7 linked regions of the Cricetulus griseus genome follow. The protein of the gene in region 4 purifies or fractionates together with the protein of the main gene of each other region. This does not show direct contact. Links are inferred from orthologs where the notes say so. Each region holds a gene or a part of one and is shown on either strand. Other genes may lie near its edges. The genes, in order: Rfwd3, Prpf19, Rfc1, Rpa3, Smarcal1, Top3a and Zup1.

Region 1 (3,874 bases), on a different chromosome or scaffold from region 4:
TGGCTAATGGAGAAGCCTCTGTGTACATTGATTTTAAGTAGGGCCTAAAAATGGGTTCCAGGATAGAGTTGTCAAGTTTGTCAAGTTGACCATCAAAGTGCCCATTTGTGGGTGGATCTCATCATTGCACATTTATCTGGGAAACTATTTCAATTGCCACTTCTGGACTTTTGGCTCTTAAAAATCATGCTATGACTTGCATAGAAAGCTTGGGGCTAGAGAATGGTTAAGAACACTGACTGCTCTTACAGAGGTCCTGGGTTCAATTTCCCAGGACCTGCATAAGGGCTTACAACTGTCTGTAACTCCAGTTCTAGGGGAACTAGCACCCTCACATGGACATACATTCAGGCAAAACACCAATGCACATAAAATAAAAATAAATAAATTAAAAAGAAAGCAAGTTTGGGGGTTCCATTTTGTTTCCCAGCTTTTGTCTGTCTCTCAGAAGTACCTCAGCTGTAACTTGTTATAGCTAATGGCATCCTCAATGGAAAAGGGGGAAATGCCATAAGAATACTTGAAAAATAAATTTCCCAGCAGGTCTCAGAAGATACATTGATTATACAAAACCAGTGCATTTCTAAAGTTCTTTCTGAAGTAGGAAAAAATCTACTGCAGATAACTTCCTTTATCCTAGCCCAGGCTTCTGAATTCATTGGTGCTATGTTGTTGTGTTTGCTTTATAGGTCTTGTGGGCTTAATATATTTAGCTTTTCTACCCAGCAAGGTTTAAGTATTTGAGGTTCAGGTACTTAATTTCTGTTGTATCATCTTCATGAGGTAACACCAATTTCTCTATCTCATAGATAAAAGCCATAACACTATACGAACTGTGCTGTTGGAGATGTCTTACAAACTAGATGATGCTGGAGAACCAGTCTGTTCATGCCTTCCTGTGCAAACATTCCTTGGGGGACCCACTTGCAAACTATTGACCAAAAATGCCATCTTTCAAAGCCCAGAGAATGATGGCAATGTCCTAGTATGTACTGGGGATGAAGCATCAAAGTCTGCTCTGGTAAGCCTGTTTTTATTTTATATTTAAAAGTAGTTTGGGGTTTGAGGGTCTCGGAAGTTGTCTAGCATATGTGAGGAAGTCAGTCCCAACCACCACATCAGTCTAAAGGTAATAAGGCAGAAAGCAATACCGGAAGAATCTTGCCCCCCATACTCTTCTGTGGTTTCCAAATGCACAAGTAGGGGCATTCATATAAATATGTACACACAAAATTATCTCTGATATATAATGATTACAACATAGGTGTTAAACACTATGAAGTAATAGCACAATAAAGGGAAGGAAACAGAATTGCTAACACATTAACGATTACTTAGAACATTTATTGGGAAGTTGACTCATTTGGTAAAATGTAAAATGCTTGCCATAAAGACCTGAATTCAGATCCCTAGCATTCATGTAAAAAGCCAAGCAGAACAGCACATACTGTAATTCTAGGCCTTGAGAGGTAGAAACTCCATGAGTTCAAAGCCAGTCAAAGTCCACGTAATGAATTTCAGGCTAGCCAGGGCTGCACAGTGAGACCTTATCTTAAGATAAAGAGTCTGGTGGTAATTTATTGTACCATTTTTGTTATTTCAATGTATTTTTTGAACGATGGTCTTATTGTATACTCACTATATAGATCTTGCTGGCCTAAAACTCAGATCTGCTTGTCTTTGCCTTCTGAATGCTAGAGTTAAAGGCATGCCTAGCATATCTCAACTTTTAAAAAAACTTTAGTTGCCGGGCGGTGGTGGCGCACCACGCCTTTAATCCCAGCACTTGGGAGGCAGAGGCAGGTGGATCACTGTGAGTTCGACACCAGCCTGGTCTACAAGAGCTAGTTCCAGGACAGCCTCCAAAGCCACAGGGAAACCCTGTCTCAAAAAACCAAAAAAAGAAACAAAACACTTTAGTATATGATGTTGGGGTAGTGAATATGTGCTATGGTAACAGGTAGAGGTCAGAGAACAACTTTGTAGACTTGGTTCTCCTTCTTCCACCTTTACCTGGGATCTTGTTAGGCTTGCATGGCAAGTGTCTTTCAATGAGCCACCTTCCTGGGCCCTGTTTTAGATAGTTTACAAGTGTCTTGTAGTAAACATTCTAGAAAAGAAAACACTTGCTAGAATGTATGTTCCATGGCTAGAGAGATTACTCAGCAGTTAGGAGCATGTTAGGGTCTTCTTCCACAGGATCCAAGTTTGGTTCCCAACACCTAAATTGGAAGGCTCACAGCCAGCTGTGAGCTGGCTCCAGGAGAGCCACATTCTTCCACAAGTACCCCACATGGACACACTTCTTAATACAAGTTCTATGAGGATAGAGATAGTGGTCTTATCTCATTGACTCTTCTGTCTCTGGAAGAGACAATATTTAGAAGACTTCTGGCACATAGATGAAAGAAATGAGTCCTTAACTTGCTTTTCAAGCCAACTTAGGGTGTGATAGTTTTATACAGTTATTCCCCACCTGGGCTGACTAACTACTGACCACTGTTTCTGCTTGCTTTTTTAAGTTGTGGAATGCTGGCAGTGGCTTGTTGCTGCAGGACCTGAAGACTGATCAACCTGTTTTGGACATCTGCCCATTTGAAGCAAATCAGAGCAACTATTTGGCCACCTTAACTGAGAAGGATGTCCATTTTTATAAATGGGAGTGAGCATGGTCTTGAGACCTTCCAAACATGCTACTGGTTAATGTTAAGTATTGTTTTTAGCACCTAGTAGTCCTGAACAAGATACCTGTTTATATGTTGTAACTAGAACTTTTGAATCATGGGTTCATTTGGACTAGTGTGATTCTAGGTCATGGAGACACTAAGATTGTGTATACTATTTGAACCAAAAGAGTACCTTTGTGAATCTTGCCTGGAAATCCTTTATTTAAATTCTGCAGGATCTTACAGTCCTCACAACTATTATTTAGGATATGAGTATGCACAGCACTTTGGGACTGTGATACCCAACCAGCCTGAATTGTCTTGGGTAGAATTTGACTTATTTCCAAGTTTGAATGCTCATAACTTTTAGTGACTTGATCTCACCCACACCCCTGGGCTTCTGCCCCCCTGTGTCTGGTACACCATGTGGTATGTGTTGTGGCAACAACAGTTACATTCCAGGTATACATGGGTACTAGAATGTTGAAAAGTCCAGTGCTGGAGGTGGTTGATGAGCTAGCTATATGAAGAGCCATAGCTACAGCTTGTGTACATTAAGGTCATTGCATTATGAGAGAAAAGAAAAGGACCAGTTGTTTGAGCAATTGTAAAAGACTTAGATTTTTCTAGTTAGTGTAGAATTCTCAGGGGTTTTTATTCTCCACCAAGCCAGTGCTTAAAGATGTACAATTCCCAGGTAAAGACTTCTTTTCCCGTGTGAAATGTTTGATTCTGAGTTCCTCTGATTTGCCTCCCAATTTTTTCTGAAAGTGTTGTTAGTAGTGTGGTTATTCTCAGGAAGGTAGTAGTGGTTAGACCTGTGGATGACTAATAGGAAGACACTTAGAAACTTCCATTCTGGTTGTCCTGAACTGGCTGTCCAGCATTTAGAGTTATGCTCAGGTTCCATTTGTCTACTTTGCCTTAGGCTACTTCACTAAAGCACTGCCTCTAGGACACCCAAGGTGTAGACAACATGGCTATTGTCTCAAATATTTGTTGGTGAGGCACTATCCTTTTTAATAAAAGTTCTGTCCTACCTATCAAACTCCTGAGCTATTTTGGAAGTCTTTATTACCAGTAAGGAATTTTTTTTTTCTTTTTTTGGGTGGAGGGGAGTATTTCTGAGGCAGGGTTTCTCTGTGGCTTTGGAGGCTGTCTTGTAGACCAGGCTGGTCTCGAACTCACAGATATCCACCTGCCTCTGC
Region 2 (3,874 bases), on a different chromosome or scaffold from region 4:
GGAGAACCAGGGCAGGTTCTTTCCAGAGTTAAGAAAACACCCGGATCTCACCAACTCTCCAGAGAAAAGCCCTCTTGTGCTCCCAGCTGGCCTAAACTCAAGGTGATTCTCTAGTTTAGCTATCAAAAATTGAGATTACAGGTGTGAGCTATCACACCCAGCAAGATCCCCTAAAGTTGAGGCTATAGCAGCTACTCAAGGCCATAGGTGACTCTAAGGTGAGAAACCCTCTTGTGCACCACTGTCAGCCTGACTTCCCTTTATTACTTCTAGTTATCCTTGTGTTGTAGTTATACTTGTGTTGGGGCTTGAATACTTGCTACTGTGGGAAAGGCCCCAGACTCCATCTCCACACAAAGGAAAACTGCCTAACTTGACTTTAAACTTCATCACTCACACATGATAGACCCCAATAAAGTTGACAAAAGATAAAAAAAACATGGGCTGGAGAGATGGCTCAGAGGTTAAGAGCACTGACTGCTCTTCCAGAGGTCCTGAGTTCAATTCCCAGCAACCACATGGTGGCTCACAACCATCCATTATGAGATCTGGTGCCCTCTTCTGGTGTGTAGATATACATGGAAGCAGAATGTTGTATGCATAATAAATAAATAAAATCTTAAAAAAAAAAAAAGATAAAAAACATGCCAGGTGTGGTGGTGCACATCTACTGTCCCAGCACTTGGTAGACAAAGACAGGAAGACCTCTGTGAGTACAAGGTTAGCCTGGTCTACAAAGTAAGTTCCAGGACAGCCAGGGTTTGTTATACAGAGAAATCCTGTCTCAAAAAACCAAAACAAACAAACAAAAAAACCTTCATTACTTCCCAGACTGGTTCTTTTTCATTGCTCAAATCAAGAGCCAATACCAAATAATATACCACAAGACACTGCTAACCTATGAGTTGCATGCACTTTCATGTAAACCCCTATATTTCCTACTGAGTGTTTGAAATTATCATTTCAATTTTCCTAAGGCACCAGAGAGATTACAAATTACAGAATTTGCTCCTCAACACACAACTTGGGAGAGGCCAGGTAGTAACACAACTCACAGCCAAACAGACTCACAAATGCTTTTCCTAGGCTACAATGCTCTACTGCCCCCAGACATAAGTAAAAGCAGCCTGGGGGTTGGGCTCAGTAGTAGGAAACTTGGTCAGGTTCCACTCCCAGGACAGCAAAAGTAGGAATAGTTTGGGCCTATCTAGGCCAAGCCCAGAGCTTCACCACCAAGTGAAGCTTCCTAGAGCAGATGTACAAGGCCCCGGAAAGCCACAGCCAGCCTCTACCTGTAAAGTGAAGAATCTCTGTCCACTGTTTGCAGATATAGATCTGGACATCTGTACCCCCAAGAGCCAGGTAGGTACCACTCTGGTCAAAGATCAGTGACTTCACCTGCCAAACCCCAAAGAAAGGCAATTACACAAATGTCAAGCCACAGAACAACTGGGACAAAGAGAAGCAGTTCACATGAACTCAGAAACCATCAGGGAGTGAGGACAAACAACTAAGACTGGGGAGGAGCGCACCTCAAAGTTGTTATCCAGCTGCAATGTCTTAAAGTTCTTCAGCTTGCGTAAGTCCCAGAGCTTGACTGAAGAGTCATCGGCTGCTGTGGCCAGGTAGTACCCATTCTCAGAGAAGGCGATACTGGTAATGGGGCCAGAATGGCCAGGGAAATTGGCCACATTGGTACGCTCCTACAGGTGGTGGTTGGACAAAAAATTATCACTTACGGGTTAAGATAGGAAGGGGCTTACCAAACTTCATGTCCTGTGCACCCACAGTTCCTTGGTGACATTACCATGCCACACAAACAAAGCCAGGCTTTCCTAAGCCTTGAGAAATCCTGGGGCCTGCTGACACACCTCATCAGTTCCTTCTCTAAGAGGCCTGCATGTCCTACCTTCAAGTCCCAGATCTTGATCTGGGAGTCCATGGTTCCTGTTCCAAAGATGAGCCCATCAGGATGGAACTGTGCACAGGTAAGAGCTGAGGAAAGGGGACAGGGATCTGTAGTCAGTAGTCACCGTGGCCTCTACACTGGTGCAGTGGTAAACACTGTCTTTAGAACAAATAAGCAAATGACTAAGTAAAACTTAAAGACAAACTGCAAACAAAAGAGTTCAGTGCCTCTAAGGACACTTACAGCAGCCGGAAGTCTCATCTGTCACCTTGGTGAGCACGCGCCCTGTCTGGATGTCAGAGAAGGCCCAGTACTGGAGGTGAGACAAAGAAGCCAATGAGTAAGCAGGTCTGGTAGCTGAGACCCTGATTCAGCACCTACTGGCAAAGATAGCTCCCACAACAGGGAAAAAACCTTTCCAGAACTCTGGGAATCTGGCTGCCCCAGCAAGATGGCCCTTCCTCCCAGGGTGAGTAGGCAGCCTCCTCAGGGCCCTAGCTGGGACTGTACCTGATCATCAGAGGAACTCAGGAGATAGTCTCCAGTAGCATGGAGGCTGAGGCCTGTCACTGCACTCTCATGGGCTCGAACAACCTGTACACAGGAGGTGTTTGGGACCGACCAAATCCTGATAGTCGCATCTGGGGATGCAGAAAACACCAGTTCCTGAAAGGAAAGCAACCAAGAATCAGATCCTAGGAAGTGAAATGTACTATAACACCCTTTTCCACAGTGAAAAGGACAGCCATAACTACCAGCAACTGCTTCTCCTTCTAGTCCCTCTCTGCCTGTAACCACCTATCTAAACAACAGTGCCTAAGAAAGCCAAGAAAAATAAATGCTGCTGAAATGGCCACACTGAGCCAAGTTGAGACCCTCACTACTTAGTAGTAAACAGGGCAACTGCAGCTGAGAGCTATTTTTGCCCCCTTTTAAAGCTGGGTGGAACTGAGGGACTGGAATCATGTGCACCTGCAGCTAAAGACTACTGGACTAGATGGCACAGATCCGAGCAGACTGAGCCTGTAAAGGAATATAAGGTCATGTTCCCATGTTCCTCACACTTAGACCCAAGGGCATGTTGATTGTCCAAAAGACCTGGGGCAGACAGAGAGCTTATTTAGTTTCCCAAATAAATTATTTCCACTAGTTAGGACAGTAACAGCCAGAATATAACAGCAACTATCCTTTCATTAACACATACTCATAAAAGCCAAAAGTAATACTAACAACGAATAAACAGGAAAAAAAGTACTTCAATTTGAATTAGTTTTTCAGTTTGCTATAGCTGTGATGGTTTGAATGAGAATGGCTCATATATGTGGCTGCTTAATCACCAGGGAACGGCACTATTTGAAAGGATTAATAGTGTGGCTTTGTTGGAGAAGTATCTCATTGGGAATAGGTTGGTTTTGAGATTTCAAAAGCCCATGTCAAACAGTGTGTGTGTGTGTGTGTGTGTGTGTGTGTGTGTGTGTGTGTGTCTGTCTGTCTGTCTGTCTGTCTGTCTGTCTCAGCTACTGGCCCAGTGTCAGGCTTGCCACCATGCTCCCTGCCATGATGATAATGGACTAACCTCTGAAACTGTAAGAAGCAATCCCCCAATTAAATGCTTTCTTTTATTAAGAGTTGCTGTGATCATGGTGTCTCTTCATAGCAAAAGAGCACTAAGACACAAATAGTCCTCTATTTCTCAGTTCCTTAAGTCTAAGAGAAAGACTTAACTGGGAGGCACTGTTTCAGCACCCCATGCAGCTGCATACCAAGCCACAGTACTCAACTCTTATGAGACCATTAATCTCCTCTAATAGCTACCTTTATCCTCTTTTCTATTTGAACTCACACCACTTTCAACAGCCAACATTTAATTTTGAACCCAACCACACAGGGTGTCATGGGAACAGACACCTAGCAGTCAGGACTATATAGAGCTTTACTGTCTGTAGTTTATCTATAAACGCTCTA
Region 3 (3,874 bases), on a different chromosome or scaffold from region 4:
TACATTTAAGTTAAAAGCAATATAAAGTAGGAATTGGAAAAATAATGTAGTAGTTCTAAAAGTTATCTAGGGGACCCTCCCCAATATACACGTGCTAGATACATCCAGTATCTCTGAATCAGAAATACATGCATACATACATACACACACATACATGTATCTCCATTTATATCTGTCTGTCTACCTACCCATCCATCCATCCACATCCATCCATCTAAATTAAATGTAATTCTTTCTAGGTACATCTTAATTTTACATGACTTTTTTTTCTTTCCCTGTGTCCAAAGTCTGTAAGTCCAGAAGATTCTGAAAAGAAGCGTACTAATTATCAAGCTTATCGAAGCTACTTAAATCGTGAAGGTCCCAAAGCTCTGGGCTCCAAAGAAATACCCAAGGTAAGAGTCACGAGGATTGTGCTACTCTGTGCTACTCTGCCTCCTGTTCCAGCAAAGAGCCAGTATTAACAGAAAGGTCTCAGCTACCTTTTTATGAATTAGAAGTTCTTATTTACATTGTGACTCACTGGTGTCCTTTAAATAATAAGTAGCCTGAGAAGGGATGTGCTTTTCCATGCCTTCATGGACTCAGAGCTTAAGGAAAAGCATGGTAAATGCATTAATATCTGATAGTGATTGTAGTACCGTGCTGTGAGAGAAAAGTCCTAGGTGCTCTTAGAGAGTATAGTAGAGAAACATGGATGATCCTGGGTGGATCATTTAGATCAGTGGTTCTCAACCTTCCTAATGCTGTGACCCTTTAATACAGTTACTCTTGTGGTGACCCCAACATAAAACTTTTTGTTGCTACTGTTAGGAATTGTAGAAAAGAGAGCCTTATCATAGCCTCTATATAAAGATGGGGGTGAAAACCAAAGTGGGATTGACAAGTAGCAGCCCAGATGTGAGAAAGAAGTCTGATGTGAGTGGTATAGGAGAAGTGCAGGCAAGAAAGGTGATTGAGTGGTATGATCTGCTATGTTGTGAAAGTTGCAACAATGAGAAGACTCAGACTTGTCCATTGTATTTAGTAACGTGAGTGATGGTCCTTAATGGCCCCAGCAAGAACAGTAGAGACAACTGATGCAGTGGCTTCAAGAGTCTGAGGTGACAAATGGAGACGTGTTTTTGATAAGTTTGGTTGTGAAATAGAAATGAAGAGTGGGATTTAAGGGAAGAGGTGAATGTTTTTAAGGTTGGAGGTGTACTTAAGACGTGTTTCTTGCTGATGGAGTAGACCCTCCCCAAGGGAAGGATAATTAACTGTGCCATGGGGCTTCTGAGAATCTAGGAGATAAATTTGGTAGACATTTAAATTTAATTTTCACTTTGCTACATAAGGCGATTAGAAGTTCCCCTAAGAAGAAAGGGTAGGTAGCTAGAGGGAAGGGAAAGGGGCTGGAAGAAGAGATCAGCCTTGCCTCCTGTATAGGGTGTAACGCTGAGAGACTGAACAAGTAAGTGCCTGTTGGAGGACTTTAGGGCAAATGGTGTCCCTACGGGACTGCTGTGTTTTTGTGACAGCAAGGCTGTGAGGGAATGTTGAAGAGGCTGCCAGGAGTTTCCTGGAGTCAGAGCTGTAGAGGAGTCTAATGGATGAGATGGTAAGGACGCTGGTGAGGCTGAGCTTGGGTCAGTAACATGATATTGTGAGCTCTAGTGGGAGAGCACTAGGGAGACAGTAGTTTGGGGTTTGAAAGGAGGAGCTTCTTGATGTGGAGTTCTCCAGGGTGACTTGGAGTCTGTTGTGAAGATTTAATAGTTCATTTCACTCCTAGAAATGGAAGGACTGAAGAGAAGCTGTTAGCCATTTTCCCCTTTCTTTCTCAGTAAATAATAACTATTCTTTCCTCCTTTGTTCTAAGAAAGGTTCTTTATGTGGCAGAGGAATGATCAGCTTACGCTGGAATATGCTTCCAGTTTTCTTTAACTTTTTTTAAAATCTCAGTGCTATTCACAGAGTAATAAGGAGCAGGGCATATCATGTAGAATGACCATTTTGTTTGTATAATTTAGTTGATGTTATAAAAATTTTGAAAATCTATAACTGTACGGAGTTGTAGTTCAGACTTAAGAAGAGAAGCCCGGTCAGCTCTTAGATGGCCAGTTATCTTTGTTCTATGCTTCTAGCAGTTTCTTAGGTTCACTCTCAGTCGGGTAATGATCAGAGAATGATAAACGCTCCAACTTGATAGGCTTTCCAGAACCCAAGCTGTACTTTAACAACAGTGGGCTTGTCAGTGGGCAGATTACATTTGATTGTTTACTTGAAGCTATGAAAGCAAATTACTGATTTAAATATGAAAAGTGGAGAATTGCATGAATGGGTAATTTTAATTTTGGTAACAGTATGTTTTTCCTCATTCATTTGGTATGTGTTAAATGTTAGCTATGTAGGAATTCATCAGGATTTACTTTGAGGTTCTGCTGTAATTTCTATCTAGGTTTCATGCTGGGGTCTTTATTCATCATTATTTATGATGTCAAGTCAGCTTGTTCAGCTATATTTCTTTGGAAAGCTACCTTGTAATTTCTTCTCTGCTTGAACATTTTGGTTTTTAGGGAGCTGAAAATTGCTTGGAAGGACTGACATTTGTGATCACAGGCGTGCTGGAGTCCATTGAACGGGAAGAAGCCAAGTCTCTAATTGAACGTTATGGGGGCAAAGTAACAGGAAATGTGAGCAAGAAAACCAACTATCTCGTTATGGGCCGGGATAGCGGACAGTCCAAGAGTGACAAGGTGGGTCCTGCTGGCGCTCTTCACAGTAGTACCTGCCTGCCAGTGTGGCTGTTTGTGGTAATGCTCCTGGCCACATTACAGTTAAAAAAGAAGAGAAAGAACGCCTTCACCCTGTAGTTTTGTCTTCTTCACATACCGTATGTGTGTTTTTGGTTGTGACTACAGATTTTGGTTTGTTTAATTGGAAGCATCGTTGCTATTTACTTGATTTTCTTTGTGTATTCTAGTTTTAAAAATATTGTTAACATAGAAACATACAGGTTTTTGTTTTGTTTTGTGTTTTGGTTTTTCGAGACAGGGTTTCTCTGTGTCGCTTTGGAGCCTATCCTGGCACTCGCTCTGGAGACCAGGCTGGCCTCGAACTCACAGAAATCCTCCTGTCTCTGCTTCTTGAGTGCTGGGAATTAAAGGCATGCACTGCCACTGCCTGGCAAAATCTTAAAAATAATTAAAAATAAATTCTAGTGTTAATTTACAGTGTGGTGATTCATCTGCTAGTAAGCCTTAAAGTAAAATTTCCTCTCCAACAACAAGTAGTTTATATGGAGCTCTGATGACTTGTATTTTAATCAACAGGCAACAGCTTTGGGAACAAAAATCCTTGATGAAGATGGTCTGTTGGATCTGATTCGAACTATGCCAGGCAAGAAATCCAAGTATGAAATAGCTGCTGAAGCTGAGGTGTGTATAAGACAAACCTGGTTTATTGAAGTTGGTATTAGAAGCCTCCTGTTTGATAGAGATGCACAATAGACAGTACTTTTGGCTAGAAAATCAAACTCCTGTGTAAAACAAGTAAATTCACCTTCTTTCTTTTTGACCTGGAAGACTGTCTCAGCATGTCTTTGGTGTTTCTTTACTTTTCAGGGGAGGAGAGAGGGAGTGTAACATATAGTGTGTTGTGTGTAACCTACCTTCTCATCCTTATTGTCCATATATATATATACATCTCATAACATACATACATGCATACATACATACACACACACACACACACACACACACACACACACACACATATATATTTCAAGGTTAAAAAATTTACTTAGCCTTGGCTGGTAAGGAACTTGATATGTAGAGCAGACTGGCCTCAGACTCAGAGATCTGAATGCCTCTACCTCTGAAATGCTGGGATT
Region 4 (4,631 bases):
AGAGAAAGCAAGCTGAAACTGACATACTAACTTATTTCCTGCTGGCTAGTTTTCACTGAGCTAAAGGGTGCTACACAGTAGCATAGAAAAGGTTGGGGTGGACCCTGAATGCTGCAATACTAACTTGCCAGGCCTGGACGAAATACATCCCAGGACTAATGAAATTCTATGAACTTGTTTTAGTAACATCAGAATTAAGGCAAACATTAACTATAAATATTAAGGAAAGTGAACAGTCATTTAAACAGGGTACATCAAATTTCTATCTTAAATTGCCATATAAAAATCTCAAAGCAGATCTTTGCAGATCTTAAACAACAGCAGGACTACACTCTAGCTCCAATTAGGACCCTTGGTTTAAAGACTAACAATAAGAATGTGGCTTTAGGAAAATCCAGACACTATTGCCACATAATTATGAAACCCAACTAAAGTTAGGTTCTAATTTCTGCAACCTCTTTTGAAGGTATTTTCATGTGCACTCGTTCTGAAATTTCTGGTCCCAATCCCCGGCTGGTGACATCACTATAATCAATAGCCACCAGCTTCCAGTCATACTATGAACCAGGGGAACATCCGAGAAGTTCCCCCAAATCTTGGAATAAATTGTCTTTCAGTCAGTTCTATGCCTCAAAGAACTCCAGGGAGCTAGATTACAACCCCAAATTACAATCAGCCGGTGTTGTAATGTAAGAAAAGCCAGAGAAAGATGCCATGCTACAGGGTTCAAGAGCGGAGGGGGGCGGCATTAGGGAAAGGGGTCATAAAAAGGGGAAAGGGGAGGGGGAAGACAGGAGCACCAGGAGGGAGGGAAGTGGGGGAGAGAAGGAGGGAGAGAGAGACAGAGATAGAAACGAGAGAAAGAGAGAGGGAGTGAGGATGGGAGGTGGGCAGAACCCTTAGGGAAACATGGTGAATGTGCACAGACGGTGGCTGCAGCTGAGGGCGCATCCTGTCAGACCCCAAGGCCAGGCCAGTGCAGATGCCTGAACACTGACAGTCAGGACCTAGCACATCAGTCAACCCCTCGTTTGGCAGATAGATCAATGTGGCACCAGTGGAGGCGCACTCGCTGGGATTCAACAGCTGGTGAAACAGTTCTCCTCTGATCCTGCCCAGTGGGGAACCCAAAAGCAGTTAGGTGAGGAGACGGACACCTCCGGACCGCCAAAGCCAGAAACGGTCCTAGCTGTAAAGAAGGAAGGGTCAGCACCTCTTCCTGCTGGTGGGGAAACCGGGCACCTACGGGACACAGCGTGCTACATAAAATGATCTCAGTCTCCTAGCAACAGCCTCCTGCGGAGGAGATGAAGACTGATGATGATGGTCCCCTTCAGGTACAACTAGAGCAAAAATAGAAGCCCAGACCCCAGGCTCGGCACGCTCCCGCGCTTCCCACGCAGAAGCGGGTAACTGTCACCGCCTGAGCCACGGTGTTCCGGGCCTGGCGCCTGACTCCGCCCCCGGCCCCGGCCCCGGCCCCTGGAGTTCAGTCCTCCGGGGGAGAGACGCACGAGGATCGAGACACCTCCCGCAGGAAAGCGCTACCTGAGACTCCGCCGCTCGCCGTCCGCCGCCCGCCACCCGCCGTGCCGGGACTTCAGCCTACTTCCGGGGTCAAGTCCCCGTTCGGCCACCTCAGATCCCGGTCCGTGGCCTCAGCCCCGCCCCTCCAGGCCCCGCCTCCTCCGCCCACTCTTTTCAGCCCGAGCAACTTCCGGAACGCCGGGAGTCACTAGGCAGTGGGTCCGTACTTCCGGAGGACTCGTGCTCCTCCCCCGTCCCCATGCAATGCAACTGGACGACCCTGCGGATTTGATTGGTGGAGCTGGAGCGCGGGTCTCCTAGGATTGGCGATCGGGAAATCTGCGCGTGTTGGCGCGGAGGCCAGCTCGGAGTCCTTGCTGGCTCTGCTTTCCCGCTGCTTCCGAGTGTCGGCGGCACCATCATGGTGGACATAATGGAGCTCCCCAAAGCGCGCATCAACGCCAGCATGCTAGCGCAGTACATCGACCGGCCCGTGTGCTTCGTGGGGAAGCTGGAAAAGGTGCGCAGGCTCGGGCGACAGAGCGGGGCACCGTGGCCACCCAGGAGTGGCTGCGCAGTGGGGAGCGGAGGGTGAAAGCAGGTAGCCTTAAGCAGCATTGCTCTCCAGCTTGCTTTAGTTTTCACCAGCAAGAGTTGCCGCTGCAGCTCCGGCGTGATGCCGCTTCTTGTGTGTCGCAAAGTGTTTTCGAATGAGCTAACTTGTAGTTCCAGCGCTCCCCGCCCCCGTTCTGTATTTACTTGAAAGATGATCAGCCTGGCTCCACTGCCTACTGTGGAGTTTTTGGTTTAGCCATGCTTGGCTGATGAATCTATTTCTTTCCTGGTCTTTTGTAACTTTCTGTGTTTTGGGCCTTTTTTTTCGCGTTGCAGTAGCTTTTCTGTGAGACATTGATAGCCCCTCCCATATCCTGTTGATCCCCAGTATGTAGCCCAGACTTAAGACTACATACAGCCCTCATCCTATAGCTAAGAAATAAGCCCACAGTCTGAGAATCTGTGACTGAGAGAGCCGAGGAAAGGAAAATCATTTGTAAGAACTTATTTACTAGCTCATTTCATTCACACATTCCCAAAGTGAAAGGAATGTTATTCTAACTTCACAGGTAGGCTGACTGAGCCAGAGTGTTGGTAATTAACTGAAATGCTCAGGGTCACAAGTGGCAAAGCTCAATTCAGATCCCAAGAGAAGTCCTCAGATCTGGCAGCCAGTTCTTTTAGTTCTTCATTCCTAATTTTAAAAGCATACCTTCTGTGAGATGTACTATCTAAATCATGAATGTCAGCAGAATCCCCACTGTTAGGTAAGTGAAAAACTTCCTTAATTTAGTTTTAGTATACAGTTGCCAGATTTTGCAAATAAAACAAGAAGCCATACATAACACTAAGCAAGTACTCATTGTTTACTAGAAATTCAAAATTAGCTGGGCTTCCAGTGATCAGATCTGGTAACAAGATTACAACTTGAACCAAATAAACTGTCCAAAAACCAGTTGTCTTATGTTCAAGTAAAATGTCAATGAAGTTTTTAACCATTTCATTTCTGTAGATTCTATTTTCTAAATCTATGTGGGTTTTTGTTTTCTTTTTTAGATTCATCCCACTGGAAAAATGTTTATTCTTTCAGATGGAGAAGGAAAAAATGGAACAATTGAATTGATGGAGCCAGTATGTTTTAAGTGATGTCTCATATTTAATTTTTTTGTTTGGTTTTTTTATTATTTCTGATTTGGTGGATGGTAGTGTGAAGGCTGTACTAGTTAAGCCTCCTCATCTTTAAAATCAAACCTATGCCCTCATATTTTATTTCCATTTCTAATCCATACTAATTATTAGAGCTCCAAGTTTCTGATAATGTCCCTTAAGATTGGTTGGATAATAATTTTTATTACTTAAAAAGATACCCAAAATGTACATATGAAAATCTTTTCCAACTACTTCTTCCATATTCACAAGCCTGGCCTTGAAGTGGTGGCCCCAGGTGCTTCGCCTGCTTCAGACTGCTACTGGTACTGCCAACCATCTTGATTTTCTATTTTTAATCTTCAGTTACATATATTTTTATTTTCTGTTTAATGTGCTCAGAAACATTTTTGTGGTCTTTTATGAAGACAAATCCATACAGTGTTTGGTTACTCTATATAGAACACACATTGTAAGATTTATACACAGTTCTCAGTGAATTTTCAAATAAATCCCTGTGTATATATCAGGAACTCTGAAATCCTCAGTGTCTTTAAATAACTCTGCCGTCAACTTAAATATAAGTATCTTTGGACCTTGAGCCTCTTCTAAAGATAACAAAACTTTTACCATCCTGTCAGGTATAGATACCACCATTTTTTAACAAACTATACTTCTGTTTTTTTATGTTGGTAAAATTTGAAACTTCTTTTTAACAATGAAAAATTAGTAAGCTGTGAAACAATATGAAAAACAAGAAACTATGAAACAGCTTTCCAAGCATATTATCAATTGAAAAGGTCAATATAGGTAACTGACATTTCGGTCAACATTTTAGCTTGATGAAGAAATCTCTGGAGTTGTGGAAGTAGTTGGAAAAGTCACAGCGAAAGCAACCATAATGTGTGCATCTTATGTCCAGTTTAAGGAAGATTGTGTTCGCTTTGGTAAGTAAAACATTATACTACATAGTAGTGCCATGTAAATAGGAGAAAAACTTTTTTTTACTATGCATTGGTCTTAAATCTCAGTCCTGGCATATTTTCAATTTCTATAGAATGAAGAGACCTTCTTTTAATCATCTCTTATAGGTGAAGGAAACTTAGTAAATGCTATTTATAGATAAAATGGCTTAAAATATGATGAAATTAATATTCATTAATATATGAATTCAAAGTTTGAACAGTGCAGTAACACTGAAATTATGATCCAGCAGAAAATGACTATGTAACAGACAACAAAATAGGTTATCATCTCTCCTTTCTTTGGGGGCACCAGAGATAAATAAACATGGATTTTGAAAAGAAGTAGACTTCTGAAAAGGAAAGAAATAGGTAGAAACTTGAGGTAACAGTAGATGCTGCAAATTCCGCTATAGATTAAATATTTGCTTAAATGTTTCT
Region 5 (3,874 bases), on a different chromosome or scaffold from region 4:
AAATGGCATGTAGCAGAATACCTTTTGCTGAATTCTGTGTGCTAACGCCATTTGTCTTTTTGCAGGTCTTTTGGACATGTGCATTCTGGTTCACACACCTCCGTTTTCTCTTTCCAGTTGCAAAGTCACGTGATCTCCGACAAGTTCAGCTAGACCCTCTGCCCAAGACAGTGACCCTGGCATTTGCATCTCAGCTGGAGAAGACATCTCTCAATGCCAAAGCCGACGTGCCTGAAGTTGACCTTTCTGGAGTGGATGCCAAGCTCGTGTCTAATCTCATGCCCTTTCAGAGAGAGGGCGTTAGGTAGATAACTGGTCCTCCTCTTGCTCTCTCTTGCTTGAATTCCATCATTTAGCACAGGTGGGGTTCAAATGCTTCTTTTATGAATACTTACATGTATTCATTGCGTACCTGTCTGGAAGCATCTAGATTAAACATTAAGCATTAAACAGCCAGGTGTGCTGTTAGCAAAGCTTATTGTTACCATTGGTTTCCAATTCCATGAGTTAACCAGGACTTTGGATTGCAGGTGTTCAGCAACCCAGTTCTCATCAGCTGAAGGAAAGAGATTTCTCCCCAGAAATCTCTGCTTTAGTTCGGCTTTCTTCTTAGCTTGCACCAGGCTCAGCCAGGTGCTCTTTTCAGGGGCTTGTGGCTGGTGTTCCATAGTTTGGCAGCACAGATTAAGTACTGTTTCTGTGCTGCAGAAAGGGAGGCTGATTCTTGGGGCTGCTAGAGGACAAGGAAGTACCCTGACATGGTACCCACTGGCCCATGTGTGCTGGCCTCTGGTCCCCAGAGAGCTGCTCAGTTGTTGCATCCTGGGAAATTTACCAAAAGGCCAGGGGCAGCTGAAAAAGTCTTGTAGTGCCCACACGCCAATGAGAAGAGATTACTCTCTTTGTTTTTATTGTGTAAGAAGGAAAGAAAAGAGCTATCTACCAGCTCATCACTGGGTTTCTGAGCCAGCAATCAGTTTTTCACAAATTAGATGAAAGAGGACTGGAGTTTGGAGCAGGGGACCAGATGTCTGATGCACAGACTCTTTGTAGTTTCTCAGTGATTCATCTGCAACACCAGCAAGTCATTTCACTGTTCCTGCTCTCATTGCTTCCTCCCTCATGTGGGATGGTGGCTATAGCAGAAACTGTTCTTCGGTGTTTAGGAAGGTGTCAAGCACCAATCCTAAGTGCTCTTTTACTGTTTCTCCCAAGAGTGGTCAGGGACTCCTTACTCGGATCTCACTGTTGCATCAGGAGGTGCATCAGGAGGCTCAGCTGCTGAGTGATAGAGTTGAGATTCCAGCTGAGGCCTGTTGCAGGTACCTGGAAGCTGCTAGTCTGCGAGAAAACCCTTTGCTAAAGCCAAGTTCTCATCCTCTCCCTGTCCGTCCTTTTTGCCAGTAGTTTTAGTCACTGCTGGTTTCACCCTGCTCCTGAGCATACAGAGTGAGCCTTGATGCTCAGAGTGCTGCATTTCTAACTCCACTTACTCTTACTTCTCTTTCTGTCCTTCCTGGGCACGTTTCTCAAGGGAGATCAAACCCCTGGATGTGGGTGTTGCATCACGGCCTCTCATGGTCCCCTGTGATCCTGTGCTTGGTTTAGGCAGAGTTTTCTCACTGTGGCTTCGCTCTTAACCCTGTGGCCTGTTGTCTTCTACATCCTCCTCCAGGGTCCGAACCATTCTGCATCTTCACTGTCTGTTCCCTCTTTTCTTATCCTGTTTCCTAAATGACTCCTGCCCTGTCCTTTTTGGAAAGAGAATCTTGCTGAGAGCGGGGCCCATTTTTGTCAGTGTTGCAGCTCTGTGGTGGCAGGTTAATTAAGATGGACAGAATGGCCCCGTGCACTGTGATATTACCTTACCCTGTCTGTCTCCTTGCAGCTTTGCCATATCCAAAAGAGGCCGCCTACTACTTGCTGATGACATGGGCCTGGGGAAGACCATCCAGGCCATCTGTATAGCAGCCTTTTACAGAAAGGAGTGGCCACTCCTGGTGGTCGTGCCTTCCTCTGTGCGCTTCACCTGGGAGCAGGTTAGATGTCTCTGCACTGGAATCATTGGGAAGGGCTTCCTTAGGGCTAGAACATCCAAATTACAGTGAAGAGCAAGGCCTGGGATCTTTAAAGGTCCAGATGTGGGTCAAAGACCAGCAGAAAGATGAGTTGGTCCCTGAGAATGGGGAGTCATGTTATCCCCAAAGGGAGGAAAGCCAAGCAGTCACTAGCTTAGGGACCTACTGCCAGTCCCTCAGCAGATACTGTTCCTCTGGTAAATAAGACTGTCCTTCTGCACTGCACCCGATCTCTGGAATGTCTTTACTTCCTTTGTCTCTCCAAGTCCTGTGACACAGCACTCAGTGACCCACTTTACAGATAAACAAACTAGGTCTCAAGGAGGTCAAGAGCTGTGTTCCCCCCTAAGGAGGCATCTTACTGACTTCCCTGCTCAGTGTTTTGCTTGCTATAGGGTATAGTACATACTATGTTTATGCTCCCCAGACGACCTAATAGATGGAGGCCTGATGTAAACATTGAATAATTAATTTTTTTAAAAAATTTAAGCAAATGCAGTGAAGGAAGGCCGAGCTTATTTCCCGAGCTTTATGGCTTTGTGCTGCTGATGTGGAGCATCATAGATTGACCTCTCCCTGAGGCACCAGAGTCAGACTGCAGAGGCTGCCTCTCAGCCTGCCGCTGGTGAGGTATAGATCCTGCCATTGCCTGTAGAAACTTGGCATTATGTATCTGTGTGTGTTAGATTTCCCTCAGAAAGTCCAGAAAGAGTCAGGGAGCTGCTTATAAGCAGAACTAAGACTGGAGAACTCATGTCAGGAAATAGCAGGCCCAGGCAAGGCCAGGGGCACCTACATGCTCTGGCTGGAGACACCCAGTGGCCTTCCTACAGCCCCAGGGTGCCTGATTTATCTAGTGATGGACTGTCAGTTTGCCTTTAGTGTACAGGAGGCTCTTGCAGGTCCTTCATAAAAGTCTTAGAATCATTCTAAGGAACTGGGACCATCTAGATTTCACAGAGAAGAAACTGTAGGCACATGAGGTGCCTGCTCACAGGAGAGAGTCCTGTCAGCACATAGTGAGGGGAGGAGTGGACTAGAGGCAGATAGAGAGAACCAGGGTTTGCCAGATGCAGGAGGGTATGGAGAGAGGAGTATGTCTTCAGGGAATGGTAAACTTGGTCCCCATTGAGAGTGTTGTTTTCTGGGTCGTCACTTTGTTTTGCTGTCCCCTGTCACCTGCAGGCCTTTCTTCGGTGGCTGCCATCTCTGAGCCCAGAGAACATCAACGTGGTGGTGACGGGGAAGGGCCGCCTAACAGCTGGCTTGGTCAACATTGTTAGCTTTGATCTTCTTAGCAAGTTGGAAAGGCAGCTAAAAACCCCTTTCAAAGTCGTCATTATTGTAAGTGACTTGGCAGGGTCCTGAGTACTTTGTCTCTTTAGAGGAACTCTGAAGGGTTCCTCAAATTTGGTAATTTGCCCTTATTGATCCTCTCTGGTTTTGGGGGAGGGGGCAAGAGAAATCACTGCCTTTCTTTTGTAGGGAATGATCTATTCCTCTCCTGAAGCAGCTCTTACGCCTGACTTGTGTGCCAGGAGGATCCCTTTAAACAAGTGGAACAAGTCTATTAGAGGGTTTCTAGTCCATCCTTCCTGCATTGGGAGGCCAGAGATGGAGGCCAACATGTGTGCATCAGACCATGCTGGGTCCAAAAAACTGCATTATTGTCAGCAAGGGTGTGTGCGTGTGCATGCATTTGTCCCACCCTGTGAATGTGGCGGCTCAGACATATAGTTCAGCAGTCAATAATTGTCTTCCACCTGGTGTAAAGACCTGTCCCTATCCCTGCTAAA
Region 6 (3,874 bases), on a different chromosome or scaffold from region 4:
CTCTGCCCCCACAGGGTTTCTTTTTGTGACCTTGGCTGCCCTGGAATTTGTTCTGTAGACCAGTGTCTTAGTTAGGGTTTTCTATTGCTGTGAAGAGACAATATGACCATGGCAACCCTTATAAATGCAACATTTAATTGAGGGGGCTCACTTACAGTTTCAGAGATTCGGTTCATTATCATCACGTTGGGGAGCATGACGGCATGCAGGCAGATGTGGTGCTGGAGGAGTAGTTGAGAGTCCTACATCTTGTAGGCAACAGGAAGTGGACTGACAGTCACACTGAGGGAAGCTTGAGCAAAAGAGACCTCAACGGCCGCCTCCACAGTGATACACTTCCTCCAACAAGGCCACATCTCCTAATAGTGTGACTCCCTTTGAGGGCCATTTTCTTTCAAACTACCAGTAGCTTCTAAATCACAGAGATTGACCTGCCTCTGCCTCCTGAGTGCTGGAATTAAAGTTGTGTGCCACCACTGCCTGACTTTAGCTGCATTTTTTTTGTTTGTTTTGTTTTTTAAGATAGGCTTTCTCTGTACCTTTGGAGCCTGTCCTAGAACTCATTCAGTAGACCAGGCTGGCCTTGAACTCACAGAGATCCTCCTGTCCCTGCCTCCCGAGTGCTAGGATTAAAGGCTTGCGCCACAACTGCCCAACTATAGCTGCGTTTTTTTAGGGGCATGAGAAGCAGGCAAGAAGGGTTTTTTTAGGGTAGGATATGATGGAGCACACCCCAACACTCAGGAGGCAGAGATGGGTGTATCTCCATGATCAGGCTAACTTGGTCTATATAGCAAGTTCCAGGGCCAGCCAGGACTATACAGTAAGATCCTGTCTCAGAAAACTAAGACAATGAAGAAGGCTCTTCCTGGAAGATGGATGTCAGCAGTGTGCCTTCTGAATTCCTGGATTTGACCTGTCCACTCTGCTCTCCAGGTTCTACCTTAGCTGCACAGGGTTCCCAGAATGTCGGGCAGCTGTGTGGTTTCCTGATTCGGTGCTGGAGGCCAGCAGGGACAGCACTGTGTGTTCCATTTGTCAGCCACCCCCTGTGTACAGGTGAGCTGGGTGTCTTTGGAGCATGCACTGTAGAACTCTTTCCTGTCCTCTCACTGGAACCCAGGCAGGAATGTCAAGGATAGTAGTTCTCCACCTATGGGTCCCAATCCCTTTGACAAACCTCTGTCTCCAAAAATATTTAAAATATTTACATTACAATTCATAACAGTAGCAAAATTACAGATATGAAGTAGCACCAAAAATAATTTTATGGTTGAGGGTCACTACAACATGAAGAGCTGTATTAAAGGGTCGAAGCATTGGAAAGGTTGAGAACCATTCGGGAATTCTGTTCTCAGCTCACAGTCTTAGCATCAGCACTAGCAGCTGACTGGTCTAGTTTTGTGTAACATTTTAAAAATGATTTATAGGATAAAATACTTTCTAAAGCAGATATACAGCACTACTGAAGATAATAATACTGGTTTTCATTTAGGCAAGACTGAATTTGTTCCACCTCTGTCCCTGTACTCCACTGAGCTATTACATGTTTCATCATTTCTGAAAAACTCTATTTGCACACATGGAAACATAAAAGTAGACTAGCATTCTTTTTTTTTTTTTTTTTTTTTTTTTGGTTTTTTCAAGACAGGGTTTCTCTGTGACTTTGGAGGCTGTCCTGGAACTAGATCTTGTAGACCAGGCTGGTCTCACAGAGATCTGCCTACCTCTGCCTCCTGAGTGCTGGGATTAAAGGCGTGAGCCACCAACGCCCAGCTGACTAGATGCATTCTTATTGTCTTGACTTCTTTACCTTGAAATAGCCCCAGATCCCTGAGGGGGCCAGTGGTGTAGAGAAGTAGGACTTTCTGAGAGTCTGAGAGTTCGTCTGTATGCTTGCTGCTCTGTGCTCTGAATGGGTTTCCTGGGGGCTGCAGGGAGCTGTGACTGGCGACCGCTGTGCACCAGGGCAAAGACTAACATATTTTCTCATCTTGACCTCACTAGGTTGAAGTTGAAGTTTAAGCGTGGGAGCCTTCCCCCAACCATGCCCCTGGAGTTTGTTGGCTGCATAGGTGGATGTGATGAAACTTTAAAGGAAATCTTGGGCCTGCGATTTTCACAAGGTCCCCCAAGAGCTACCCAGCCCTCTGGCTACCTGCAGGCCAGCCAGGCCCTCAACAGGATGGACAGCAGTCAGCATAGCCTCTCTCAACCTCTGGTCAACAGACATACTGGATCTTCAAAGGCAATGGCTGAAACCTTCCCACCACCCACTCCTGCTGGTGAAAGTAACTCTGTGATCTGCAATTGTGGCCAGGAGGCTGTGCTGCTTACTGTCCGCAAGCAGGGCCCCAACCAGGGCCGGCACTTCTATAAGTGCAATGGTGGTGGTTGCAACTTCTTTCTGTGGGCTGACAGCAGCCATCCCACAGGAGGAGGAGGGCCCCCCACCTCTGCATCAAGACCCCCAGGCAGCTCCATGGGGTACACGTCAGCTTTAGGCAGCAACGTGGATGGGTTTGGCAGCCTTGGTGGTGATGGTGATGGAAGTACATCCTGCCTGTGTGGGCAGCCTGCTGTCACACGGACTGTGCAGAAAGATGGGCCCAACAAAGGACGCCAGTTCCACATCTGTGCCAAGCCACGAGAGCAACAGTGTGGCTTCTTTCAGTGGGTAGATGAGAACATGGCTCCAGGTGAGGAAGCAGGACCACAGGTCCCTACATAGGTTCTCACAGTGGCTATCATTGCAGAGACCAGAGAAGAAGGGAAGGCAGATGAGTGTATGGGAGATCAGCAGGGCCATAGCTTTGCCTCTGTTTTCTCATTGTTCAGCAAGGCATGAATCATAGATAGGGTCTTGGGTTCACATTAGAGAGTAGCAACTGTGCCCAGTGCCATGATCTGTACTTTCTATAGCAAGTTTCCTTCATCTGGGTTCGATTACTTTTCCAAGTGAGGTCAGGTGCAGGCCAGCGAAGGGCTTTATTTAGTGTCACAATGACAGGTCCCAAAGTAGTAATAAGTGTCTTCCTCCCCTGTAGACTGTCACCCTCGCTAGGTCATTTTTATCAGCCTCATTTTACCTGAGGCACACTGACTGGTGGTGTGTAGAAACCTATCTACACAGCCCCGAGTCTCAGGAATGAATGTTCTAAGGACTGGCACCCAGACATTGAATCAGATGGGTTCCTGCCACTGCAATGCACAGCAGTAAACCCAAGGCTGAGCAGCAACTTTGCAGTTTCGCAGGTCTTTCCAATCCCAGTTGTATACCTTCACGTAGCTGGCTGAGCCTCTCACCCTTGGTCTCCTCAGCAATAAGATGACATCACTGATTTCCATAAAACTCCTGTTTCCTAAAGGAGCCAAGTTAGTCTCGGACTATGATCTTTCATTTTTAGTCATTTATTTGTGGCTGGGGTGCACATTTTGAGGCAGGTTATATATGTAGCTCAGGCTGGCCTCAATCTTACAAACCTGCCTTAGCCTCCTGAGTACCAGAATAGCAGGCATGTGCCACCAAGGCTGACTTCACATGTGGGCCACCAGATGCAAGAAGCACCCAGAAGACCTGGTGAAGAGCTTAGGACTTCAGGCCCCTCAGGCTATCCTTTTCTGTGCCCGTATCTGAAATAACTGCAGAGCCCTTAGCCTTGTATACACCTGAGACTTTCTAGGGCCACCAGAAGTGACATATGTCTCCAAGCCAGATGACTAGATGTCTTCAGTGTCAGGACAGCCAGCACTGCAGCCCATTTATAGTCTAGAAGGTTCCTTGGGGGCAAGGTGCTGAGGGTTCCACGAAGGGAAGGTAAAGTGGGGGCCTGGCTGCTGACCACAGACCCCCCATCTGCTACTGTGTGCTTGG
Region 7 (3,874 bases), on a different chromosome or scaffold from region 4:
ATCTGATTGCCTCTGCCTCCTGAGTGCCATGGTTAAAATTGTTCACCACTATGCCTGGTGACATGGTTTAATGCTAACTACAAAAACACTCTACTCATAAAGTGTACACAGTCCTTGGCATGGGGTGAAAAGTTTAAAAGTTCTACAAATAAAAAAAGCCTTTCTACATCTCTAATACAGACTGTCATCAACCACTCTATGACTGTCCCATGTGTGGGCTCATCTGTACAAATTACCATATTCTCCAGGAACACGTGGACTTGCATTTAGATGAAAGCAGCTTTCAGCAAGGTATGTTTATGTCTAAAAGTGTTTTCATTTCTACTTCTAGAACACACATGTCTTTTAGGTTAGGGATACGATGAAAAAGTCACCCTGTTTAGAAGTGAATCTGTTCTTTAAATAATCCCCGGGTAGCTGCACCGCTTTCCTTGAAGTCTTACTGAGAAATTGTAAAGGATGAACTGTGGAGACAGCATCCAAACCAAGGTTAGACATCGTGGGTTTGGCTTGACATGTAGAGAATACACCATTTAAGACAGTGCTTTTTTAAAAAGTGCTTTTTTGCCATTTAAAAGTTTCTCTTGACAAGTTGGGGCCATGCTTTCATTGGTTTGAAGTAATGAAGTTAACCTTTAGCCAGCAAGATTTTCCAACTAAGAAGCTGCCACTTTAAAAAACTAGGTGAATTTATGTGACTCTTGTAACTATTGTGTGACAAAACTTTTCGGGGCAGGGTGGAGGTGGGGAAGCAGCACACATGTCTGCTTACCTCAGATAGGAAACCTGTGACAGACCAAAGTACTAATACTACCTAAGTTCAGTTTGGTCAATGAATTTTATTGGGGCTACTTATAGGAGTTTGAGTGAGGAGTTACTTATGAGAGCAGAAATGATAGAGCCTCATTGTGTAGCTCTGGCTATGTGTAATATCGGGCTAGAACTCACAGAGCGCCCCTTGCCTCTGTCTCCCATGTGCTGGGATTAAAGGCGTGCACTGCCATGCTCAGTGTACAGGTCAATTTTATGGAGACATTTTCTCAATTGAGAGTCCCTCTTTCCAAATGACTGTAGCTTGTGTCAAGTTGACATAAAACTAGCCACCACCTCTATCTTCCTTTGCAGAAGGTAGTAAGGGAATGCTGTGGGAGGGTAACCTTTTAGAAGCTGAATATCTGCTGATTCTTACTTTGTGGGTAGGCTTTGTGATGGTGCATATATTCTGTAAACCAGTGCAGAGAGTCTCAGGGCATGCTAAAAATCAGTTATGAGTTACATACCCAAGAACATAAGGGAGAATCAAATAGAAAGGTATAACAACTAGGAGGCTTGGAAGAGAGAATATTCAGTTTTGGAGTTAAATCATCAGGTTTGTGGATTGTAATGTCTCTGGATTGAGGAATACCTAGAAGATTCCTTAGCTATTCTGGGGTGTCTCTGTGTGTTTCCAAGGAACACTCATGTGTGTAACGATAAGTCTTTCCACCAGCCGCCTGGTTCCACCCGCCATCGAGTTAGGGCCCCAAGTAACACACAGATATTAATGTTAGGTACAGTGCTGCTGGCCAATGACTAGGATTTCTTATTTGCTAGCTGAGTCTTAATTATCAACTATAACTATTAAACTATATATTTTATAAACTTATTGAGGACACAGGTGGCAAGTGTCCTGTCTTCTGGGGCTCACATGACGACTCTCTCTCTACTACATTTCCCAAAATCCTCATCGACTCCTAGTCCTACCTATCTTGCTTTCCTATTAGCCAACAGTGCTTTATTCATCAGCCAATAAGATGCCCCCCATCATGTGTATATGGGCAAACTGAATGGAGAAGATCTATATTCAATGTGGACAGGTAGCATTCAATTCAGCCAAGATTCTAGATGGACCAGGACAGTTGAAGAAGGGGCAAACTCATTTTGGCTCTTCCTTCAGGATTGGGACTTGTGTTTTCTACTGTTGCTCTTTGCCTTTAGACTGCAGAGTATTTGGCCTTTGGACTCTGGGACTGTTGTGAGCATCCCAACAGAAATCTTGAGCCTTTGACCTCAGACTTGGATCTCTGTCCATCACAAACTGCTCACTCTGGCTCTGTGTGTGTGTGTGTCTGTGTGTCTGTGTGTGTCTGTGTGTCTGTGTCTGTGTGTGGTGTTTTTGTCTCTCTGTCTCTCTCTGTGTGTCTTGCTCTGGCTCTTGCTCTGTGTGTCTGTGTGTGGTGTTTCTATCTTGCCCTTGGTCCTGTTTTTACTGGAGAACCCTGAAGAATAAAGGAATCTAAGAAACAAGATACCATACAGATACCACTGTTAAAAGAATCTGAGTTTCACTGGGAGACATGAAGCAAGTCATTACACTGTAAAATTATTTCTCCTTTTTGGGTAAAACTATAATGAAACAGTTGGAGATAGTGAAGGTATACTTTGTACTCTTTATTACTTTCTTCTCATTTGTTTCAAAAAGGAATCTCCATTAGTTGTATTCAGAGGCATCAATGAAAAGTGCCACTTAACCTTTCTTTTTTTTTTTCCTCAGCAGATAATACTTCATAAAGTTGTCAGGAAGAACAAGTCAATTAGTTAATGAGGAGAGCTTGTGGCAGCCTAAGTACTGAGTGAATATTGCTTGTTTCTCTCTAATAGGCATGGACAGAGTCCAGTGCTCTGGTGATAGAGAATTAGCTGAGCAGCTTCAGCAAGAAGAAGACAGGAAGAGGAAATCTGAGGAATCAAGGCAAGAAAGGGAAGAGTTCCAGAAGTTGCAGGTACAGAGATCAGTAACAGTTTTATTGAGTAGAGTTCTTATTTCCCATATATGCTTTTTTGGGGGTGGGGAGGCAAAAACACTTAAAAGTAGCTATTTTCCAAAGCCAGAGAGCTGGCTTAGTTATTAGGAGTGCTTGCTTCGCCAATAGATGACTTGAGTTCATTTCCCAGCCCCTACTTCAGGCCGCTTAGAACTGTTTATAATTTCAGCTACACACACACACACACACACACACACACACACACACACAGCCATTCTTGACTGTGCATGTGGCACATGCCTTTAATCCCAGCATTAGGGAAAAAGAGGAAGGTAAATGAATCTTTTAAGTTTGAGGCCAACCTGGAACCCATCAAAAAACAAAGCAAAACAAAAAACAATGTAGCAGTCTATTCAGATACTGGAATAATCATTTCAGATAAAATATGTGAAAAATTTCCACAGAAAACACACAGGGTTTTGTTTTCATTTTTCTTTCTTTCCTGTGTTTAGATGAAGAACAAAAATAAAGTGTTTGTGATTTGCCCTGGGTTAGACAACTGTTAGGTAGAAAAGGATACATGTAAAAATATGCAAATGACAGGCAGATTGTAAAACTATACCGAGACTCTGCCTGTCTGTTTACTTAAAATTATTGTGTATCTCTCCTTAGTTTTGTTTTTGTTTTTATTTTTTGGGTTTTTGTTGTTGTTTGAGACAGGGTTTCACTGTTTAGCTCTGTCTGTCCTGGAATTCGCTTTTTAGACAAGGCTGGCCTCAAACTCGAAAAGATCCACCTGCCTCTGCCTCCCAAGTGCTGGGATTAAAGGCGTGCATCACCACTGCCTGGCTGTGGACTGGAGGGATGGCCCAGAGGTTAAGAGCAGTGGTTACTATTCTAGAGGACGCAGGTTTAGCATGGCTGCTCACAATTTCAGACATTTTTATATAACGAACATTCAGAGGTTGGTGTTTCATGATGTTTTAGGACACATTTTCCTATTGTGAACAAAGTATCTATTGGATTAAACTTGCAGCATCTGAGGGTTTTTAATGCTTTAAAAATTTTAATAGATGTTTCTCCTTTTTATTTCTAATTTGTGAACTGTGTCTGGTTTTTTTGTACTGAAA

The links.
Region 1: the proteins of Rpa3 (region 4) and Rfwd3 purify together in Homo sapiens (affinity purification with mass spectrometry; 5 studies listed by BioGRID and IntAct, with this or other methods). This does not show direct contact. The link is inferred for Cricetulus griseus from reciprocal best matches to the Homo sapiens genes RPA3 and RFWD3.
Region 2: the proteins of Rpa3 (region 4) and Prpf19 purify together in Homo sapiens (affinity purification with western blotting; 3 studies listed by BioGRID, with this or other methods). This does not show direct contact. The link is inferred for Cricetulus griseus from reciprocal best matches to the Homo sapiens genes RPA3 and PRPF19.
Region 3: the proteins of Rpa3 (region 4) and Rfc1 purify together in Homo sapiens (affinity purification with mass spectrometry; 3 studies listed by BioGRID and IntAct, with this or other methods). This does not show direct contact. The link is inferred for Cricetulus griseus from reciprocal best matches to the Homo sapiens genes RPA3 and RFC1.
Region 5: the proteins of Rpa3 (region 4) and Smarcal1 purify together in Homo sapiens (affinity purification with mass spectrometry; 3 studies listed by BioGRID and IntAct, with this or other methods). This does not show direct contact. The link is inferred for Cricetulus griseus from reciprocal best matches to the Homo sapiens genes RPA3 and SMARCAL1.
Region 6: the proteins of Rpa3 (region 4) and Top3a purify together in Homo sapiens (affinity purification with mass spectrometry; 3 studies listed by BioGRID and IntAct, with this or other methods). This does not show direct contact. The link is inferred for Cricetulus griseus from reciprocal best matches to the Homo sapiens genes RPA3 and TOP3A.
Region 7: the proteins of Rpa3 (region 4) and Zup1 purify together in Homo sapiens (affinity purification with western blotting; 3 studies listed by BioGRID, with this or other methods). This does not show direct contact. The link is inferred for Cricetulus griseus from reciprocal best matches to the Homo sapiens genes RPA3 and ZUP1.

The regions. Positions count from the first base shown.
Region 1 is NC_048596.1:187,682,260-187,686,133, reverse strand, and holds part of Rfwd3 (E3 ubiquitin-protein ligase RFWD3), read left to right. Parts: intron 1-809; coding exon 810-1,021; intron 1,022-2,522; coding exon 2,523-2,666; 3' UTR 2,667-3,874. UniProt on the Homo sapiens protein: E3 ubiquitin-protein ligase required for the repair of DNA interstrand cross-links (ICL) in response to DNA damage. Plays a key role in RPA-mediated DNA damage signaling and repair.
Region 2 is NC_048596.1:49,549,499-49,553,372, forward strand, and holds part of Prpf19 (pre-mRNA-processing factor 19), read right to left. Parts: intron 2,576-3,874; coding exon 2,420-2,575; intron 2,223-2,419; coding exon 2,153-2,222; intron 1,996-2,152; coding exon 1,910-1,995; intron 1,704-1,909; coding exon 1,533-1,703; intron 1,399-1,532; coding exon 1,293-1,398; intron 1-1,292. UniProt on the Homo sapiens protein: Ubiquitin-protein ligase which is a core component of several complexes mainly involved pre-mRNA splicing and DNA repair. Required for pre-mRNA splicing as component of the spliceosome.
Region 3 is NW_023276807.1:132,328,633-132,332,506, reverse strand, and holds part of Rfc1 (replication factor C subunit 1), read left to right. Parts: intron 1-287; coding exon 288-395; intron 396-2,558; coding exon 2,559-2,738; intron 2,739-3,314; coding exon 3,315-3,419; intron 3,420-3,874. UniProt on the Homo sapiens protein: Subunit of the replication factor C (RFC) complex which acts during elongation of primed DNA templates by DNA polymerases delta and epsilon, and is necessary for ATP-dependent loading of proliferating cell nuclear antigen (PCNA) onto primed DNA.
Region 4 is NW_023276806.1:216,931,707-216,936,337, forward strand, and holds the start of Rpa3 (replication protein A 14 kDa subunit), read left to right. Parts: upstream 1-1,757; 5' UTR 1,758-1,948; coding exon 1,949-2,047; intron 2,048-3,138; coding exon 3,139-3,213; intron 3,214-4,066; coding exon 4,067-4,175; intron 4,176-4,631. UniProt on the Homo sapiens protein: As part of the heterotrimeric replication protein A complex (RPA/RP-A), binds and stabilizes single-stranded DNA intermediates that form during DNA replication or upon DNA stress.
Region 5 is NC_048595.1:425,980,322-425,984,195, forward strand, and holds part of Smarcal1 (SWI/SNF-related matrix-associated actin-dependent regulator of chromatin subfamily A-like protein 1), read left to right. Parts: intron 1-117; coding exon 118-304; intron 305-1,888; coding exon 1,889-2,039; intron 2,040-3,263; coding exon 3,264-3,422; intron 3,423-3,874. UniProt on the Homo sapiens protein: ATP-dependent annealing helicase that binds selectively to fork DNA relative to ssDNA or dsDNA and catalyzes the rewinding of the stably unwound DNA. Rewinds single-stranded DNA bubbles that are stably bound by replication protein A (RPA).
Region 6 is NC_048600.1:74,737,032-74,740,905, reverse strand, and holds part of Top3a (DNA topoisomerase 3-alpha), read left to right. Parts: intron 1-936; coding exon 937-1,059; intron 1,060-2,007; coding exon 2,008-2,699; intron 2,700-3,874. UniProt on the Homo sapiens protein: Releases the supercoiling and torsional tension of DNA introduced during the DNA replication and transcription by transiently cleaving and rejoining one strand of the DNA duplex.
Region 7 is NC_048595.1:257,243,916-257,247,789, forward strand, and holds part of Zup1 (zinc finger-containing ubiquitin peptidase 1), read left to right. Parts: intron 1-180; coding exon 181-291; intron 292-2,640; coding exon 2,641-2,762; intron 2,763-3,874. UniProt on the Homo sapiens protein: Deubiquitinase with endodeubiquitinase activity that specifically interacts with and cleaves 'Lys-63'-linked long polyubiquitin chains. Shows only weak activity against 'Lys-11' and 'Lys-48'-linked chains.